Linked DNA regions of Drosophila melanogaster. The protein of the gene in region 2 interacts with the protein of the main gene of each other region in a pairwise test. Each region holds a gene or a part of one and is shown on either strand. Other genes may lie near its edges. The genes, in order: CG14711, CG15710, Rcd-1r and Ets65A.

What was found.
Region 1: the proteins of CG15710 (region 2) and CG14711 interact in a two-hybrid assay, tested with the Drosophila melanogaster proteins (one large-scale study listed by BioGRID).
Region 3: the proteins of CG15710 (region 2) and Rcd-1r interact in a two-hybrid assay, tested with the Drosophila melanogaster proteins (one large-scale study listed by BioGRID).
Region 4: the proteins of CG15710 (region 2) and Ets65A interact in a two-hybrid assay, tested with the Drosophila melanogaster proteins (one large-scale study listed by BioGRID).

Annotation. Positions count from the first base shown.
Region 1 is NT_033777.3:11,621,322-11,625,917, forward strand, and holds CG14711 (uncharacterized protein), read left to right. Parts: upstream 1-2,017; 5' UTR 2,018-2,089; coding exon 2,090-2,224; exon of another isoform or gene 2,225-2,279; coding exon 2,280-2,405; exon of another isoform or gene 2,406-2,464; coding exon 2,465-2,973; exon of another isoform or gene 2,974-2,981; intron 2,982-3,033; exon of another isoform or gene 3,034-3,035; coding exon 3,036-3,170; exon of another isoform or gene 3,171-3,228; coding exon 3,229-3,339; exon of another isoform or gene 3,340-3,396; coding exon 3,397-3,514; 3' UTR 3,515-3,627; downstream 3,628-4,596. Other genes in the region: CG14710 (uncharacterized protein), read left to right, coding at 1-132, 194-317; Zaf1 (ZAD and architectural function 1), read right to left, coding at 404-623, 694-828, 886-1,535, 1,594-1,716; CG6813 (uncharacterized protein), read right to left, coding at 4,190-4,304, 4,377-4,596.
Region 2 is NT_033778.4:16,346,845-16,350,976, forward strand, and holds CG15710 (uncharacterized protein), read right to left. Parts: upstream 1,684-4,132; 5' UTR 1,623-1,683; coding exon 825-1,622; 3' UTR 770-824; downstream 1-769. Other genes in the region: wcd (wicked), read right to left, coding at 1-551.
Region 3 is NT_033779.5:9,011,827-9,016,041, forward strand, and holds Rcd-1r (Rcd-1 related), read right to left. Parts: upstream 2,243-4,215; 5' UTR 2,097-2,242; coding exon 1,224-2,096; 3' UTR 1,059-1,223; downstream 1-1,058. Other genes in the region: CG13102 (uncharacterized protein), read left to right, coding at 438-495, 559-735, 800-1,017.
Region 4 is NT_037436.4:6,095,622-6,101,122, forward strand, and holds the start of Ets65A (Ets at 65A), read left to right. Parts: upstream 1-1,995; 5' UTR 1,996-2,850; intron 2,851-4,847; 5' UTR 4,848-4,908; coding exon 4,909-5,141; intron 5,142-5,313; coding exon 5,314-5,501. Other genes in the region: loj (logjam), read left to right, coding at 28-291, 363-530, 585-641.

The DNA.
Region 1 (4,596 bases), on a different chromosome or scaffold from region 2:
CGAACGGGTCCGCCATGAACGGGTCCACACCAACACGCGTCCTTATGCCTGCCAGGAGTGCGGGAAAACTTTTACGCACACAGCCATCCTCAAAAATCACATCCTTTCGCACTCCGCCCAAAAGAATTACAAGTAAGGGAGAGTAATCCTTTCTAGTGATTTGCACTTTTTATTAATAATTTGAACTTTTCAGCTGTGGTATCTGTTGCAAGTCATTCACTCTGCTGCACCAGCTGAAAGCTCACCTGCAAACGCTAACCCACCGCAACAAAATGGAGCAAACCATTCCCAGCTCTCCGGAAATGTTAGAGAGCTAATATAGTAAATTAATTGAGGAACTAGGGTTATCTATTATAAGTAGTATAAAGCCACTTTTCCAGAATAGACCAGCTATTTTTATTAACTATTCTACCACGTCGCTGTACTCCTTAGCTATCAGACGGTGCGCAAGAGACTTCTCGTGCGCTGTAAGTTGGTGCTTAAGCCGAAATTCTTTTTTACACATAAGACACTTGTGAGACTTTTCAGACGAATGCAGGTAGTAGTGAGCGTTACGAGAGGAGGACAGAGAGAATGTTTTTCCACATATGTTGCAAGCATAGGGTCTTTCATTCGTGTGCAAACTGAAATGAAGAAATTCAACATTGGAACTTAAATGCTGTACACAATATATATAGTTTTTGTCCATTCTACCGTTCGTGCTTGCGATGAGTGCTGTTGTCGGCAAAACGGCGCGAACAGTAGCAACATTGGTAAGGTTTCTCGCCCGTGTGCGTCCGCATGTGTGTTTTCAGGTTGCAGGCGGCTCTGAATGTCTTTTGGCAAACCCTGAATCATACATTTTATATATGAAATATTATGTTAAGATATATCACGGATACTTACTCGCACTGGTGGTCCTTTTCCTTGCGGTGCACCTGCGAGTGTGCATTTAGCTGAGATAAGCAGCGGTATGTATTGCTGCAGATCTTGCATCTGTACTTGTCCGGCTCGCAGGCCACTCCTAGATCTATCACGTAGTCGGCACTTGGCTCTAGATTATGGTAATCCTCGCTTGTCTCTTGAATACTGTCCGTAGCAGCGCTGCTTTCTTGCGAATACGTTTCGGAGTAATTTTGATCGGAGATCTCCCTGTCCAAATCCATATCACTGATGGTATAGTCCTCCTGGTGTATGTCTTTCTCGTTTTCCGCATTCACGTTGAGATCGAACACGAAATCGCTTGAAAATTTATTTATGGGTAAGATTTCATCATCTTTGGTCGTTTCCAATGCATTCTCTTGAGTCTTAAAGTTAATAGGATTCTCTTCGATGAGTCTCCCCGAAATGTTCTGCTTCCTGGCGCGTTTTTTCTGTTCAAGCTGGTCCTTATCCTCCAGCGTCTCAAATGCCGATGCGGAGGACAGAGTTTGACGAACGAGGCTTCTCAGGTGCGCGTCGGATTGTTTGCACGCGCTAAGAAATCTGTCCACCTCCTCCAGTTGCATCAAGCAGACTGTGCAAATTTGATCCGGCAGTCCATCATCCGGTTTCACCTAGGAGAGAGGATTTGTAACTGGTAAACTGGAAGCCAAACAGAAATCGAGTACTCACAGATGTGCCGGCATACGAGATCAACAGCTTGTGGGCATTGGACTCGAAGAGCGACTGCAGCGTGGATTGCGTTCCTTTTTTGCGGCAAGTGCGGCACATGCTCCATTTAATGCTGATTTCCATCGTTATTTCCGCAGGAAGTCCCTCTTTCGCGTCAAATGCCGATTCAAATGCCAGAGCAGTGAATTAAAAGTAAAAGGGTTGTCAGGTACGCGGAATTAGTAACAGTTTTCAACTATCATTCCAAATTTTTTTGCATTTAGTTCTAAAACTGTATTTTTATTGCGTGACTCAAGCTTAAATATTTAATAGGGCCCACCTGTTAGTTTAAAAAAAAAAATTAAGATTTAATTATTATCAATTATTCAATCGATATGCCGATAGCAAGTTCGATAGCCATTTATCGTTTTGCGTACATGACAACCCTGGGAAAAGTTCCAAGACGCTTGTTTATTTCAGAATTGCAAGCATACGTACGTCCAGGACGTGCAAGATAATGCCCGAGTACATGTTGTGCCGAATCTGCTTGACAGAGGACATCAACTCGGAGGCGATGGCGCCCCTGTTCGATGACAACGACGCCCAGTGCCGGGAGCTGGTGCGCAAGATTGAAGAAGTGGGCAGCATAAAGGTACATGTGGATGCAAATGTAAAATCCTGCGACTTAACCCACTCTGTGCTTTCAGCTGGTGCCGCTGCAGAACATCCCCAGTATGTTGTGCTACAGCTGCGTGGAGCGACTGACCAGTGCCCACAAGTTCCGGGAGCTTTGCCAGGAGAGCGAGCGCACATTTGCCACCAATGTAGTCAAGGTACGTATAGAGTTGATGGGCCACATATAAACATCCCACTTGACCCGGTACCATGTCAGGCCGAGATGAAGTCGGAGCCAACGGACGAGGTGCCGCACGTAGTGGCTGACAACATTGAGTACATCTACGAATCGGCCAACGACTTCATCGACGGTGTCGAGGATGACATCGGAATGGAGAACATCATGGAGGAGCCCCTGGAGGATGGTGTCGGGGAAACGTCGCAGGCCTACGAGACTAGCACTGTAGTGGACGACCTGGACGAGGATGACTTGCTGGTGCCGAATAGCACCGATAGCGACTACCAGCCCATCGAGCGCTGCCGCAAAGCTAAGGTGCGTAAAACGCGGATGACTAAACGTGGACGTGGCCGACCTCGCGGTGCTAGCTCCGGACACCCACGCAGTTTTAGCGAGGAGCGTCCGCCTGTTCAAGCTAGCTTCAAATCATCTCCCGAAGTATCCTCCACGAACATTATGTGCGAAATCTGCGGCAATATCTACTCCAAGCGAGCCGCTCTCAACATTCATATGCGTCGTCATATGGCCGAGAAACCATTTAAATGCGAGTGAGTATCTGAAATTATCATCTGAACCATTTTATATTATGTAAATCTTATTCCGCTTACAGAATATGCAGCAAATCCTTCGCGGGTCCATCCGAGCTAAATCGCCATATCCGCGTTCACACGGGCGAGAAACCATTCTTGTGTAAATATTGCAACCGCTCGTTTGCGGATCGCAGCTCCAATATTCGTCATGAAAGGTGAAGATGCAATTCCTCATAGTAATCTTCATATAAACTATACTTGTTCCTTTTGCAGAACACACACAAACGAGCGACCTTTCACTTGCTCCACATGCGGCAAGGCATTCTCCTACTCTAACGTGCTAAAAAACCATATGCTCACCCACACGGGCGAGAAGCCTTTTCTGTAGGTCCATTGACTGCTTTAATCATGTATAACCCTAAATTCCCTTTAATTTTTCAGCTGTCGAGTCTGCAATAAGACCTTTTCCCGCAAGCACCAGTTGGATCAGCATTTGGGCACCATGACCCACCAACAGACTGTAATACACCACAAAAACGAACGGACGGGGCGCTATTAGTCGAAAACAATGCAATACAATTTCTGTTAGATAATTCATTAATGTACATTTAATTATATATAAAAATTGTAAAATAAAAAAGAGTACAAATGGTCAGACCGGATGTGTAAAATAATCGGATTTGATTTATTACTATTTGGTTAAAGAACTTGTTCAAAAACACAAATATTTTTTGTAATGTTTTTTATTACGTCCATATATTCGAGAAAAAAATTGGAACACGATTACAATCTTTGATTTTGTGCGTTTATTTGGTAGTTTTAACATCATTTTGGCCATTAAATGAGTGTGCGTTTTTTATTGTTTCTTTTCTTTGTGCTCTGTCGAAGACTTTGTTACCGTTTGTGGAAGCTACAACATGGAATAATAATCGAATGGCACAGGATTAATTAAATCTTCTTTTTTTGGACAAGTAAATATGTTTTGTTTTTTTAGGTTTATAACTTGTAACGTTTTACATCAAAATCTAAAAACGTTTGGAAGTCGGGAGGGATGCGGCTCTTCTTCTATTCCTTAGGGAAACAAAAAGTAAAACCAAATATGCTAGATATTCGCATAAAATGGATTTATGCGAATACCTGTACTTAAATGTACGTCTACCTTGTTAAAGAAAAGGACGCGGAATTTTAGAATTCTTACCGATAGCTAATTAGTGTAATGGCTAGATAGGCAGCTTCATTGTTCAATGGCTAGCTCCGTGAGTTTCTCTTCTTTGCGTTTATGAATATTGCTGGACAGGTGGGTCATCAAATGGGAGATTCGTTTGAAGTGCTTCTGACATACGTAGCAGCTGTAAAATCAAAGTGTGTTGAAACGTGTAATACAAATAATGTGCAGAGTTGGCAGAAATCGAAATGCCCACTAGTGATTCCGCGCATCCACATGGATCATCTTGTGCTTCCTGAGACATCCGGAGCTTACAAAACTCTTTTTGCACGTGTCGCACTCGTAGCGGCGTTCGTTCCGATGGCGGCGATGGTGCTCCTGGCGAGCGCCTGAAGAGGAGAACCGACGTGGACAGTAGACGCACACGTATGGCTGCTCGCCCGTGTGGATACGCGTATGGCTAGTCAGTTCCTTTC
Region 2 (4,132 bases):
TCACTGTTCCGGGCTTTACGATCGATAAAGCCAACCGTCCGCAGCAGTTCTTCGTCGGAGGATACGTCCTCGTCGTCCTCATTTTTGACCTTCTTTTCCGCCCACTTGGGTTGGTTAAGCGTGCGCTGGAATCGCGCCGTAAGATACTCCTTGTACGATTTATCCTTGCGCAGGTGGTTCAGTGGACCCGTGTGCTTTGTGGCCTTCTTGACATCGCCCACCTGCAGGTCCTCGTCATCGGAATCCGACCAGGCGGCTTTCCGCTTGTCGCCTGGCTTTGCCTGGCCGGGATTTTCCTCCTGCTCGTCTTCGTCATCGTTCGGCAACTTTTGTCCCACGGACTTGGCTAGATTGGTGAGCAGTCGCTGCCTGTCGCCGAAGAGCACCTTTTCCATGGGCACCTCCACATAGTTGAGCTCCTTGGCCTGCGAGGCCTTTGGAATATAACGTTCCCTTTTGATCTTTGCCGGTTTCTCTTGCTCCTGCTGGCCGTAGAGGGCCTTCAGACTCTGCAGCTCCTCCAAACCGTCGCTGGACTCGTCTGAACTCATCGTGTTCGCTGGAAATGCACGCAAATTCGTTTATTTACGAACTTTTCTTTGGACCGCAAAAAAATATACACGTGCAGCTGGGCGGGAAATCGACTAACGCTTTAAATCAAAAATACCACGCCACGGTGGATTTATCGATAAGTGTGACCACATCGATAGCAGATCGAAATAGATATCGGTGGGATGGGCGCCATAATTTGAAAATTATAAAAAATATTACAATTAAAAAATATATTTATTTAATTTAAAATTAAAATGTGCGAATTTGTATAATCAATTATTAAAACTTTGCACAACTTCTGTAAATGTTACCTCGCTGACCTCGGTGATTTCAATCTCACGCTTTCTTTTGCATTTATCCGGCATCTGGCAAGTTTTCAGATGACGGTGAAGGAAACCCTCATATTTGTACTTTTTCCCACAACGATCACAGATTAATTCGGGCCTTCTCTTCCCTAAGATCTTTTTCTCCTCCTCCTGGGCCTTCAGCCTTACGATACATGCGTCGCACGCGTATCGACGGGTCACTTGGCCAGGCTTAAAGCAGGCCTTGAACTCCGTGCGACAAAAGACGCAATTGAAGGTCTTGGTGATGGTGTACGCCCCTTCGTAGGATTCATCCGTGGACTCGCACGGTATCAGATGGCTCTCCAAATGGGTGCGATACTCCAGATCCGTCCCGAACTTGACATGGCAGGATGCACAGGTGCGATTCATTGATGGGCTTCCATGCAGGAGCCTGTGGCCGATCAGGGCATCCACCGAGGAGAAGATTTTCTTGCAAATGTTGCACTGATGCTGGGACACGTCCGGCACATCCTTCATCATGCGTGCCAAGCGTCTTTGGCAGGCCATCAGATGGACCTTGTAGGCACCGGCCGTGCGAATCACATTAGAGCAAAGCGGACAGTGGAAGCGTTGCGTGTTGTCCTCCAGGAAAACTTTCTCCTCTTTTATCGGCTGCAAACAGGGCGCCACGTACACCTTGGTAACAATACCATTATCCTCCTGAATCGACAGTAGAGTAGCTGGTTCCAGCTCCTCGGAAATCCAGTTGCCAGCACTTGTCATAATCCTTTGTGGGCTCTTGTGTTTCGCCAGTAAGAAGCGTACGAAGAAAGTGAGAAAGTCGCCGGTCATTGTCATTGAAAGATAGAAAGTAATACTCGATACTCGATACTCGGAAACTGTCAGGGCTGGAAAAGAAAGAAAGCGTATACGCGATAGGTATGCCTCAAAAATGTAAACTTTTTAAATTTGTCCAGGCAATGAAATTCGAATCCAACGCTTTCCTCCAAAAAAAAATTAAACGTTTTATTCGGATTACCATAAATGAGGTGGTAATATATTTAGCCATCATTTAGTTTAACCAATTAAGCAAACAATCTTCATGCATTTTTACTGTCTAAAGCAGAAGTATACATACTATATATATTCGGTTTAATTTCGTTTTTAAATGAAGTAGGTCAGCTTCACAGTTTCGAACGCAGCAAATAAATTATGTTTTATGAACCATATTAAAGGCTTCTCCATGATTTCGTCTGTGTTAGGAATTATTTTTAAAATATCATCTTAGAGACTTAAATATAAATTTAATTTAAATTAATTTCTAAGGAAGATAGCTATAGTTCAATGGCAAGCCTGGGCAGAATAAGATCTATACTCGTAAAACTGATTGTTTAGTTTGGTCTTTGAACTGTAAAATGCAGGAACATGTCTTTCGAGTGCCTCTAATCCCCGCCCAACTTCTGGCATTGTGGTAAGCTCCGGATCCCTGCTTTATGACACGCGTAATGCGAGTCAAAATATGCAATTAAACAAAAACTTCTTGACTGGAAAAATATTTGCATAACTTGGGCAAACAAATGTCGGAGCACGTCGTCCTCGTCACCAGTCGACAATGTCGAGTTGTTGTTGAACTTGTCATTACACACGCACAACCAGGAGAGCACCAGTCTCATCCACCCACTAACCACCCAACCACCCACTAATTTACCCATCCACTGGGGGTGGTGCTCTCGCCAAAGTGTGGATTAATAGCTGGGGTGGTGCTGCTGCTGCCAGAAATCAGCGCTCGTAAAATTTACGTAAAATTCATTAAGCGCAACAAAAGACGCTGACTGCGTGGAGCAAAAGGGGGCAGGGGCAGGTTGGAAGGGAAAGGGGGGGTGGCGCCTGCAATCGCTTAGAGACAAAGCCCTGCATAGTTGATAAGACGCGTCCTTCGCGGGGGGAGGACGTTGCTTGTAGGAGCAGTGGGTGTTTAGTTGGGTGCCTGGGTGGGTGACGGCTTGGCATTTGTGGTGCCCTCGAGTGTCTCCTGCCAAGTCAGGCGTCAAGCCGCACGGAGAGCAACCAATTTTTGTCATTTCAAAGGGTCCAGCATTATTGTTGCGCCATCCAGGCGGCGATACACTAGCAAATAATTTTCTATAAATATTAAACATACTTATCATTAATTTTAAGCAGCGCGAAGTTGGGTTGTTGGTATTTCCTCAAAAGATTGTGAATTATTTAAAAAGCATACACTATTCTTGAATGTATTATATGCTTTTTAAACCATTTAGGCTATTCTTTTTAGTTATTTTGAAGTAAGCTATCTGAAATATGAATATTTTTCATTTCAGAATCTGTTGATTTCAGATTAACAGAATATGGGATTCTTTTATATCTTTCTACTAATCCTTTACGCAGAAGCTTTTTTAATCGTTTGCCTTAAGTAATAATAGCTAATCAAGTTCCAAGGATTGAAGTTTGTCTAAGAATCGCTGCATTTTCTGGGAGTGTTCCCCGCCCATTTTCCGCCCACTTCCAATATCCTTGAGTTCCTGTGCAGCGAGGCGCTGCGATTCAGCGCTCCTTAAGTGGCCTGACATTGTGGCAGATCCTTTGCAGTCGCACTCCCAACTCCCCGCCATGCCAGTATCCCCCATTCCGCGCCCTGCATCTCGCATCCTGCGCTGCAACTCCTGCCGACTGACAGATTAGCGTGTTGACATTAAGTTTGTCCTTTGGCAGTGTAGGCTAACATATGGCCTTTAGTTGGCTTTAAGTATCGGGCGCATTTAGCTCCAGCTCCAGCTGCACATGCAAATGCTGATAGAGCCACGCATTACAGCATGTTGCGGTCGCTCCTTGTGGGCGTGGCGCCTGGCCACCTGCCCCTGTGCTCCATCGCTCCACCTATGTGCTATCTTTCGAATCACGGATGATGGCTCCTGTGGCATGTAATGAGTTTTCCATTGCCCCGCACACGGTGCATCAGGTTACCCGTACCTACATCACCGCTGATTTGTGCGGTTGATAATTGGGCGCGCGGTAATGTTGGTAATTAACGTCTTTCTGTCCACCGATATCGGCATATTGACGGCCATTGTCAAGGGCGCGTTTTATTTGCAGGACAAAATCCTGTCCAACGCAACGTTCGTCGTTCAAACGGAATTAAGCCAAAGGGAAAATCTGGCGACAAAAAGCGTAAAACTTTGTTGGCGATACATTAGCGAACAATGCATATTGACATTGTATTGACAGTGCGCGACATGGCAATAGCACTTAAACACCATGCCATTTCGAATCGCTTT
Region 3 (4,215 bases), on a different chromosome or scaffold from region 2:
ACGAATTTTACAAATAAAATTAAAAAGAATTTACGCTTAAATATATATATGTATTTATATATATTGCTGGAGGATTATGAAATGTTTGTTATTTCGGTAAAGCAGTGAAATTCTTATTTGATTTAATATGTTTAAATGAGAGTAGGAATACAGGAATATTTCCAAAAATGAATGAGTTTCGAAAGGGGAAACCCTTACTGCTTCTCCATTGAAACTTTTTGATAAGTTTATGAGCCTGTAAACGTAAAATGATAAGATTAACTTAACAAACGACATACATACAAGCTTATCTCAAAGAATTGAGTATTGTGCAAAATCTGAAGAGAATCGCCGTATAAAAGAGTTCTTGGCATTTAAAAAGAGTTTAGTTTAAAGCGAATCGACATCTTGCAAAGTTGTACTACAGTTAAGTGTGAAGTAAAAATATTTAAACCAAAATGTATATGAAAGCTTTAATAGTCAGCATACTTGTGGCCTTTGTGTGTGTGCAAATTGGTGAGTCAATTGCGTAAAATGTGAAATTCGAGATCAACTGATTGTTTTTAACATGGATTATAGCTGATTCCCTGAAGTGTTACACCTGCGTAACGCCAAAGGACTGCAAGAGTCCCAAGAAAGTCACCTGCACGAATGCGGCTGCGAATGAGACTAGTTACTACCTGGGTGTCTATCATCAGAATGTTGGCAACCTAACCAGCACGCGATTCGATTGCCTGGCTCTGAAGTACAACTGGAGTGAGTAGCGTGGGGACCCCAGAAGCGGACTATAAAGATTTATTAACTACTTTCCACTTGCCAGATAACGATGTGATCCATCAGCTCCATGGCTGTGTGCATCCAAATGTTGGAGCCTGCAGCTTAGCACTTAAGCCGGCCTATGCTCACTACAATAAGACCTGGTGTCTCACCTGTTCGGGCGACAAGTGCAACAAGAATCCGGCCGGAAAGATGAGCAGCAGCACTATTGCCATCGCGTCTAGCGTTCTGGGTCTCTTGCTGGTCAAGATGTATGCCTAGTGTGACTATTAATAAATATGAGCTAGGAGCTATGATATTTTATATTTGATATTTTTTATTGTACCGTCAATTTTAGTAATATCATAATTTCATTTGTAGATTATGTAGGCCATGTTTATTCGGTCGAGCAGTTAACTAGGAGTGGGTATCACTAATCGATGGCGCTTGAATGGACGGTGGAGTGACGAAAGTTGTTGGGCGCTTCTCTAGGAGGAGCCCATTGGGTTGACGGCGTTTGTCTGCAGGTTCTTGAGCAGCATCTGCAGCCACTGCTTGGTGCACGTGTCATGTTGCACGAGCGACGTGAAGGTGCCGTCACGCAGCAGATCCGGCAGACACACTCTAAGTGCACTGCGAGCGCGCGCATTTTCCGTAAGTAGTAGATAGCAGCGCACCACATGCTTCAGCACCCGGAGGCATGGAAACTTCAACATATGGATGACCATTTTGCCCAGGGTGATGGCCACCTGCGAGAAGCGATCGTGGTTCTCGCAAATGTACGTCAGACCCATCTCATCGAGCAGTATCTTCTCAAGGATTGAAGTGGCCGCGATCTTGGTCAGCTTCGATCCCCTGACCATATTGGTCAGACAGTGAGGCACGACCTCGCTCCATATCAGGAAGATGAGGACCTCCGTATCACCGGTCTCGGCCAGAGCATTAATCACGCCCAGCGTGGTCAGGCGCAGCTGCTCGAAGGGCCTGCTCTTGAACGTGGTCGACAAGAAGGGGTACAAGTACATCGGTATCTGGTCCCGCAGGAAGGCCGGGCGAGTCTCCGGATGCGAGGCGACGCACTGTAGCAAAGTCAGGGCGTAGCACACGCGGTTCGACTGGTTGGCCTTCAAAACGGGCGTCGTTATTATGGGGTATATGTTGACGATCTCCTGCAGCAGGGTGCAGGTGGTACCGACGCTTTTCCACAGCATGGGGGCCAGGTCCGCATAGGTGTTCTTGCTCAGCTCCAGCAGAGCGGTCTCCCGCGTGGCAGGATAGGCCAGCTCGATGATCAACTGGTACACCTTCTCCCGCTCGGCCTGCTGCTGGGGACTCATTACCGGACTTGGTTCCGCACTCATCGCAAAGCTGGTTTTTTTTCGCGTTAGCTTGCAAAGATCTAGTAGCTTGGAAAGATCTGGCTCCGGAATTTCGACGGACGATTGAGAAACGTGGTTTCGAGTTGGCGTCTATTGTGGTTATCGATATAAGCTTCAAGCGAGAAAGGACCGAAAGCACGTGGCCGAACAATGTGGCCAGAGCCGAGGAACGCACGAATGCCATAAATTAATAAATAATTTCTTGTTCGAATGTCTCCCAGAATTTTGTTTCTTATCACCATTGATTTGATTGGCAGCTTGGAATTCGTCTGGAAATTCACGTTTTCTCTATATTTTACAAGTATTAATCGGTAGATGATTAAAATTTATGATTCTATTAAGTATGTCATAGCATAGCTTAGCTCTCTGAAATGGCCAGACTAATTGCGCATCTGATGGAGGTCCGATTTATGGCTTAATGACCATTAAGTACTTTTGGACACCAGTTTTAGAATTAATGAATTCGTATTGACAAATACTATAAATCAAAAATCATTCTAGCACACACAAATATTTGCCTTTAAAATTTTCAAATATTTTATCTCGCATTTAACCCATTAAACAGATGGATGCTTGGAATAGTTGTCCATTTCTGGAATTACTTGCCAATACAGAAATGGTTAACAGAAAATGTATTCTTTGCCACATCGTGCAACATTTCAATTTTGTTTGTTGCAGAGAGCTTTAAAAATTTCAGTCCGTCACATAAATTGGCCAACTATCCCAGAGAAAATCGGAGATTCGAACGAGCCGAGAAACAAGAATAAATCTTTAATAGTGTTGCCGTCTGCCTAAAAGTCAATCTCACTTTTGCATGCCGAACATTATCCGGTGGGTCATGTTATGGTTATCGTGGCTCGGTTTGTTTGGAGCTGCATTCAGGCATTTAATTGATTGATTGTTGCTCGTCTATGTCTGCATCGATTTGGCCGTGTTCACGCCCCTTTCACCCTTTCACCGAGCCGCCTCCAAAATCCCGTTACAGCGTCCCCTTTTTCGGATGTTTCATAACCAAAGCGGAAGGGATCCATGCCGCCCATCATATCGTGCACGGTTATCAAATCGACTTCCAGGCTATATCCTCGCATACATGCATATGTGGTCCACGTTGTTCCTGCTGCCAATTAGTGTTGGTGCGTCATCTGTGTGGCTGTGTGAGTGTTCATGTATGTATGCGTGTGTGCACGTCATCAATTAATTTTTGTATTGTTACTTTTTTTTTTTTTGACTGGTTTTTTGCAGCCCTCGGTGGGTTACGTGGGGAATACCCCTGTTGACTGATTGGTTTCTTTTCGATTCAATTGTTTCATGTGTGCCTCGGAATGGGAATGGATGTGTTTGCTAAACAAAGTTATGACTATGGTCACGGCTATAGCAGCTGGCTCAGGACTAGCTATACAATACTATAGTTTTACTATAGGCAAGCTTAAGAAGTTATTGTTCCCTCGAGATATGCGAATCAAAACGAGTGTCACTAAGAAATTATAGTTGTTAACAATGGAAAGTCAACACTTATGATACAATTCTTATCTGTCTTGCCTTAACCAATAACTGTAACAGTCTTAAATACTTGAATACAAACTACTGCTTACATTTGAGACCTACCCAGATTCAAAAATCAAACATCCGCACCACCAGGAATATTCTTACTTTCCCCTTATCTGTGCTCCAAATCCACCCTCGATATCCGAAACTTGTTGGGAACTCCCGGAAACTAAATTAAGTTTAGCTTCAACTACAATATGTACATTTGATTTATGCATTGAGAGACCATGGAGCAACCTGCCCGAGACCCCAGAAAATTTCCTCCTGCGAAAACGAAGACGGGAACCCTCTGATAACTAAGCCAAACCTATTCAACTTTCACGTTCGCATTGTTTGCACGAGCACGAAAAGTTATTAAGATGCATAGACGTGATTTTGCATGTTTTAAAAAAGAATACATAATGCCACAGATGAGACGGGGGAGCAAAGGACGTGGTATTAGTTGGGGGGAAGCTGGGATCTTGACTTGCACTTTAAGTACTTTTAATTTACCAAACAAATTTCCATTCTTCGCGACGACCGAAAATGTTGCATTCGAGAGGCCAAAAGAGGCCCG
Region 4 (5,501 bases), on a different chromosome or scaffold from region 2:
GAAATTATTCATATAAATTTTTTTTAGGTGGTGCGCGGAGGCGATGGAATGGCTGGTTTCGCCGTCCGCAATCCTGCTGGTGAAGTGGTGAAGCCCTACCAGTGGCAGGCTACTGCGGACTACACGGATCAGGTATCGCCCGGTGGCTACTACTCCGTCTGCATTGACAACCAGTTCTCCCGATTCGCTGGCAAGCTGGTCAACATCTATATCACGGTGGTGAAGTACGATGCATGGGACAAGTACGCCAAGGAGATCGAGCAGCTGCAGCTGAACATGCAAAACTTCACTGTAAGCCAAACTGGTTTTCAGACACACCCAAACATCCATTTACAAATATTCACATTGATCTATTTCTTTAGGCCACCGTTGGCACTGTGGAGCGCAACATCAACGATATGATGGGCTATCAAGCCCACAGTCGTCATCGCGAATCGCGTGATTATGCGTTGCTCCTGGACAACAATGCCTATATTCAAACCTTCTCGATTAGCCAAATTGTGGTCATATTGATCACGTGCTCTGTACAGGCGAGTATAGACATGTTTTTTGCTTTTCCTAAATTAATAACCTAATATTTGCAGGTATTCTTTGTGCGCAAACTATTTGAAGTAAAATCGAGCTCCAAAAGTCGCATCTAAGGCGCAAAGATACTTTTCAAAGACTTCGCAACATGTTTCTAAAATTCCATCCGCATTTCCAAGACATTCATTCTATTCTACCTGCTGAATGAGTTTTTGTAACTTATTTTATCACTGGCTAATTGATCAAGCGCAACTGAGCAGACTTTTTTATAATTGGGACTACTTATGTCATACGAGTTATAGACAGCAAAACTTATTGTGATAAGTGTACATTTGTGTGTTTTGTTTAATTAAAAGATTGAAGATTTTTGTATTTGCTTTGTTTTATTTGGGAAAGAACCTTAAGGATTTATTCGAAGCCATTTGGGTTTGTTAATTTACTAAAAGCTCTACAAGCTTTAAAGTTAAGCTGCTTTGGTAAGCTCACTTAACCGTTAAATTTCATTATCCTGGAAAGGATTTTAAACTTAAAAATATATAATTCAGGTTGTTGTTTTAAGAAACCTGTTTTTCTTTTTATATGGGAGTAAGTTATTTTCAAATTACGACATTGTTGCAAAGACATCTTCTCGTTGCCTAAAACCAATCTTAAATATTAAATACATGCTGTACATGAGCTCATTAGTTTAAATTGAGAGCTGAAGACATTTCGAAGACATTCCACAACTTGGGCTGGCAAATTAATCACCCCGAATGCCGCTTATCGCAAATTATCCTGCCCCATCCATCGCAGGACCTTAAATCATGTCACCAGGCTCACCGCTTATCTAGACGTCATTTAGCACATGTGTGTGTGCTCTGCAGCAGCTGGCATGTTAATTATATCCTTTTTGGCAGGCAGCAGGAGCATCTGGGTATCTTGGCGGGTCTTTTGTGGCCACTGCTGCTCGAAATTAAAATGTTATTATGCGAGGCTTATCTGCGGGCCTTAAAGCCACCGCAAAACTAAGGTCCTAATGGCCTCGCACACCAGCACACGCTCTTTAACTGTTTTAAACGCCATTGTTAAAATATTGCTCATACGCACTTCCGCCCAAAATGGGGTCTTCTCTCTTCGGCAGCACTAATGATGCCCCAAGAACGCGGAGCAAAGGACCCGGCGAAAGGCAGGAGCATCCACAGCCATAGCCACATCCACATCCACATCCCCGATGGCACAGAGTTGGCTCCGCCCACCAGCAGCCGATGACAGCGGCAGATAACAGAGCAGCGGCAAAGTGGGCGGTGGATGGGGTTGTGGTGCGGAGAGCGCGCCTGCGCATTAGCCGCCGCAGAAACGCAGGACGATGGGGTGACACATCCTCGGTGATAGCGCCCAGTTCCCCTGCCACACAGAGCCACCGCTTGTGGGAGGAGTGTGTCGCCATCTTTGAGCGTGGACTGGTGACTGGACGGGATGATCTGGCCGCCACATTAACTTGGAGTGCGCGCTACCAAGTGCAACACGTCGCGGACGACATAATAGCGGTACTTTGCGGTTTAGATTCGTCGGTCACACGTCGTCAATATTCCCGGGACAAGGACCAAACTAGCGAACCTTTCTTGGTCAGCACAAGCGGCAAACGAAGGCACAAAAACCACAAAAAACACAAAGCACACACACGGCACACACTTGTACACTTACACACGGCAAGCAGTGCGGAAAACTTGGACACATACGCCCAGCTTGTTGCTGGCTGTGGGCGTGGCAGCGCACGAAAAAGAAACAGACAAGGACACACACATGTGTCCTGCCAGTGTGTCGCGGAAATTTTTGTGCGGAAATTATAGAAATTTCGCTTTTTGATTTCATTTTCGTTCCGCTTTCGTTGCGAACCTCTCACCCCTCGCCACCCACCACCACCCACCTTTTGTGCACCTGCACCTGTGCGAAAAGACATCGAGAAATGCCCAAGGAGCCCGCTGCCGTCGGTGTCCAGTTGGCTTGGTGGTCGTCGCCGTCATCGTCCTTGCAGTGACAAATTTCCTTGCATATCCGCTCCAGGACTACGAAACTTTGGCTGCAAACAAAACCGTCATTTGCGTGGCGCGTCGCTGTCGCGTTCACTTGTCGCATATCCGTCGCCATTTTGACAATAATTTCATTTCCGGTTGGCAATTTGTACGCACTTGAGTGAGTGATTAACTGCACCGATTCCCAACGATTGTGAAGTGTTTAAGATTACTAAGTTGTAACTTAAGTTGTCCCGACGGAAGTTTAAGAGACAGTCAAAGAGGAGACTTATTTTTGGATAAACTTTATTGCACATACAGGCACAATCCTGAGGTGAGTTATGTTCGAATTATAGAATGATCAACATGATTCAGAACTCCGACGGGGTCCTAAATAACTAATGTATTTTTAAGTGCTTTGTTGAACCAAAGTTGAAGTAAATTAAAGATAATATCGTAACGGTAGAATTTTATTCAAAAATTGAAAACATACTCCTAGGCTTAAATGGGGAAAATCTCCAGCATAAAATGGGGAAAATATTAAATGCATAAAAATATTTGAAATGTACGAATTCAGAATACCAGACATGTTGAAGTCTATTTTAAATCTAAAAATTTATAACCAATGTCAGTAAAGAATAATTACAATAATAAACTTTAATATTTTGATAGAATTTATTTCGAATTTCTAAGATATTTGTAAACTATGATACTTTCTATTCAAACATTCTGATCTGATAAATTAAATCCACTTACATAGAATTTTGAGCGCTTAGATACAGCACCTGTGAACTTAGATGGTTGCTTTTAATTTCTAACTAACGACAGTTATCCAACCCCTAAAAAGCTCACCCCACCATCATCAGATAATTGTGAAGCATATGTTTCTGCTAATCGAATTAGTAGACTTAAAACGGAAGTATTCATAAACCAGAAAAAAAGCACATCAGCAGCATCATTGGGTAAAAGCTTGACAATTAAACAGCAGCACAGTTTCATCAACCAGTCGGCTGTGCAAACATTCAAAAATCCTAATTTCCTAAAATCGCATAAAAATCTTACAAACCATTAAAGAGCAGCCAAACGTGTGGCCTCTTAATTAAAGGATCTCTCGTCCAACAAGGGGATTACACCATTAACAGCTGTCGAAGAGCATAAACTCGGCAATCACAGCGATACCAAGTGGTATTCAAAGGACTCAGCACGCGCTGCAGAACGGGACGAGCATTCAGCCCATCTGCAGACCGACATCCTGGCATCCCGCTCGTATTTCCGGTGTGCGCGCGTTCGCTCAGCGATTGTGATAACTTGGGGAATACAAGGATACCAGAATACAAAAAAAATAAAATGTCTGCCTGCTAATGTTCGCTGGTGAAATTTGCCTACATGCAAACGCAGCCACTCGGCCTGAGTACAAATAATAAATAATAAATGAGGCGTGTGCAGGCCGTTTATAATGTCTGACAAGGCGCAAAGTTGATGATGTTCTGTAGATGCGACCGTTTCGATAACGAAATCTATTTACTCCTCCCGGCAAACTTAAAGCTGCTGGGGTTTCAGTTACAGTTTTCATTTCGGGTATGTTTGGTGTACTTTAAGCCAGAGACAGGACAAGTCGCACTTTGTATGGCATAAATTTCGTTGGCATAAATCAAAATTCAGCAACTTCCGACGAGGGCAGAGTGCAAAAATTTGCATGCCCCCTGTGTGTGCTAACTGCAGACTGGCCGAAAAGGGCCAGTAAACAATGGTTCGCCTTCCCCAGCTTCGACCAGCTGGACATTAGAGAGCCACGCTCAAATGGCCGCCACCCACGCACAGTTCAACGCTCATACGCAACGTTGGCCCAGTGCAAAAAGCGGGACTGTACACACAATAAATAACGAGCCAGATAATTATGCACGTCGTGCTTATATCTAAGGGAACACTAGCTCCACAGCTCCAAAGTAGCCACTATTAATTATGCCAGAACATCGGGGGGGTTTTCGGGTAGCTAGCTTAACGTGTTGGGGCCATGGCAATTAGAGCGATTGTTTGGCCCGAGAGGCATTCTAAAATTGCAGTATTTAATTGTGGACCACGCGCTATGATTTATTAATATCTCGCTCTGCAATTTGCCATGAGGTGAGTGATGGAGTTTACTTGGACTTTAAAGCAATTAAATCTTCTGGTTTGACTACCAATAGAGTACAAGAGTGTATGAATAAATATCTTAAGTTTTAGTAACTTATAAGTACTAAGTATTCATTTATATTCATTTTCGTTTGTAATTTTCGCAGTTTTATAAGTACTATAAAACCAATTTGTTCTATCTATTACTTTCTCCGGCAGAGTCAAGTGGAATCCCTTGTTTAGCCAACAGCCACCCATCGAGGCTCCCCAGGCGTGCGCCATGTACGAGAACTCCTGTTCGTATCAGACGGCGCTGGACCTGAAGAGGGTATCGCCACCGACTCTCGCCCAGGTGAAAACGGAGGAGTGCCTTGCACTCGGACAGTGCTCGCCAGAATGGACCTCGTACCGCTTCCATCAGTCCACCTTCGAGCAGCTGAAGCAGAGTGTGGAGAAGGCCAAGGCGGCGCTGCAGGATCGCAGCAGTTTTTTCGGGGCCAGCAGTGCCTTTAGGTGAGTAACATCTTAAGATGTAACTATTTTGCACTAAATAAAATTTATAAACCATTTAACTTGGAAATCTTACTTTAAAAGAATTTTAATCTTGAATTCAGAATTATAGTTTGAGGTCTTATTAATTGGTATTATGGTATATATATCTTAAATGTATGTTTTCCAACCACAGCGACATCTACTCGAGCCAGCGCTTAACGGACTCCCTCGACACCCTGCCCGTTCAGTCCGGGAATGGAGGCGGCAATTGCCTTGGCCTTCCACACAATCCCAATGTCGGAGTGGGCGTGGCCGGAGTGCTCAACTACAATGCGGTCAGCAGCAGTACGGCCGGAGTTCTGAGCAGCAGTGGGAACGGCG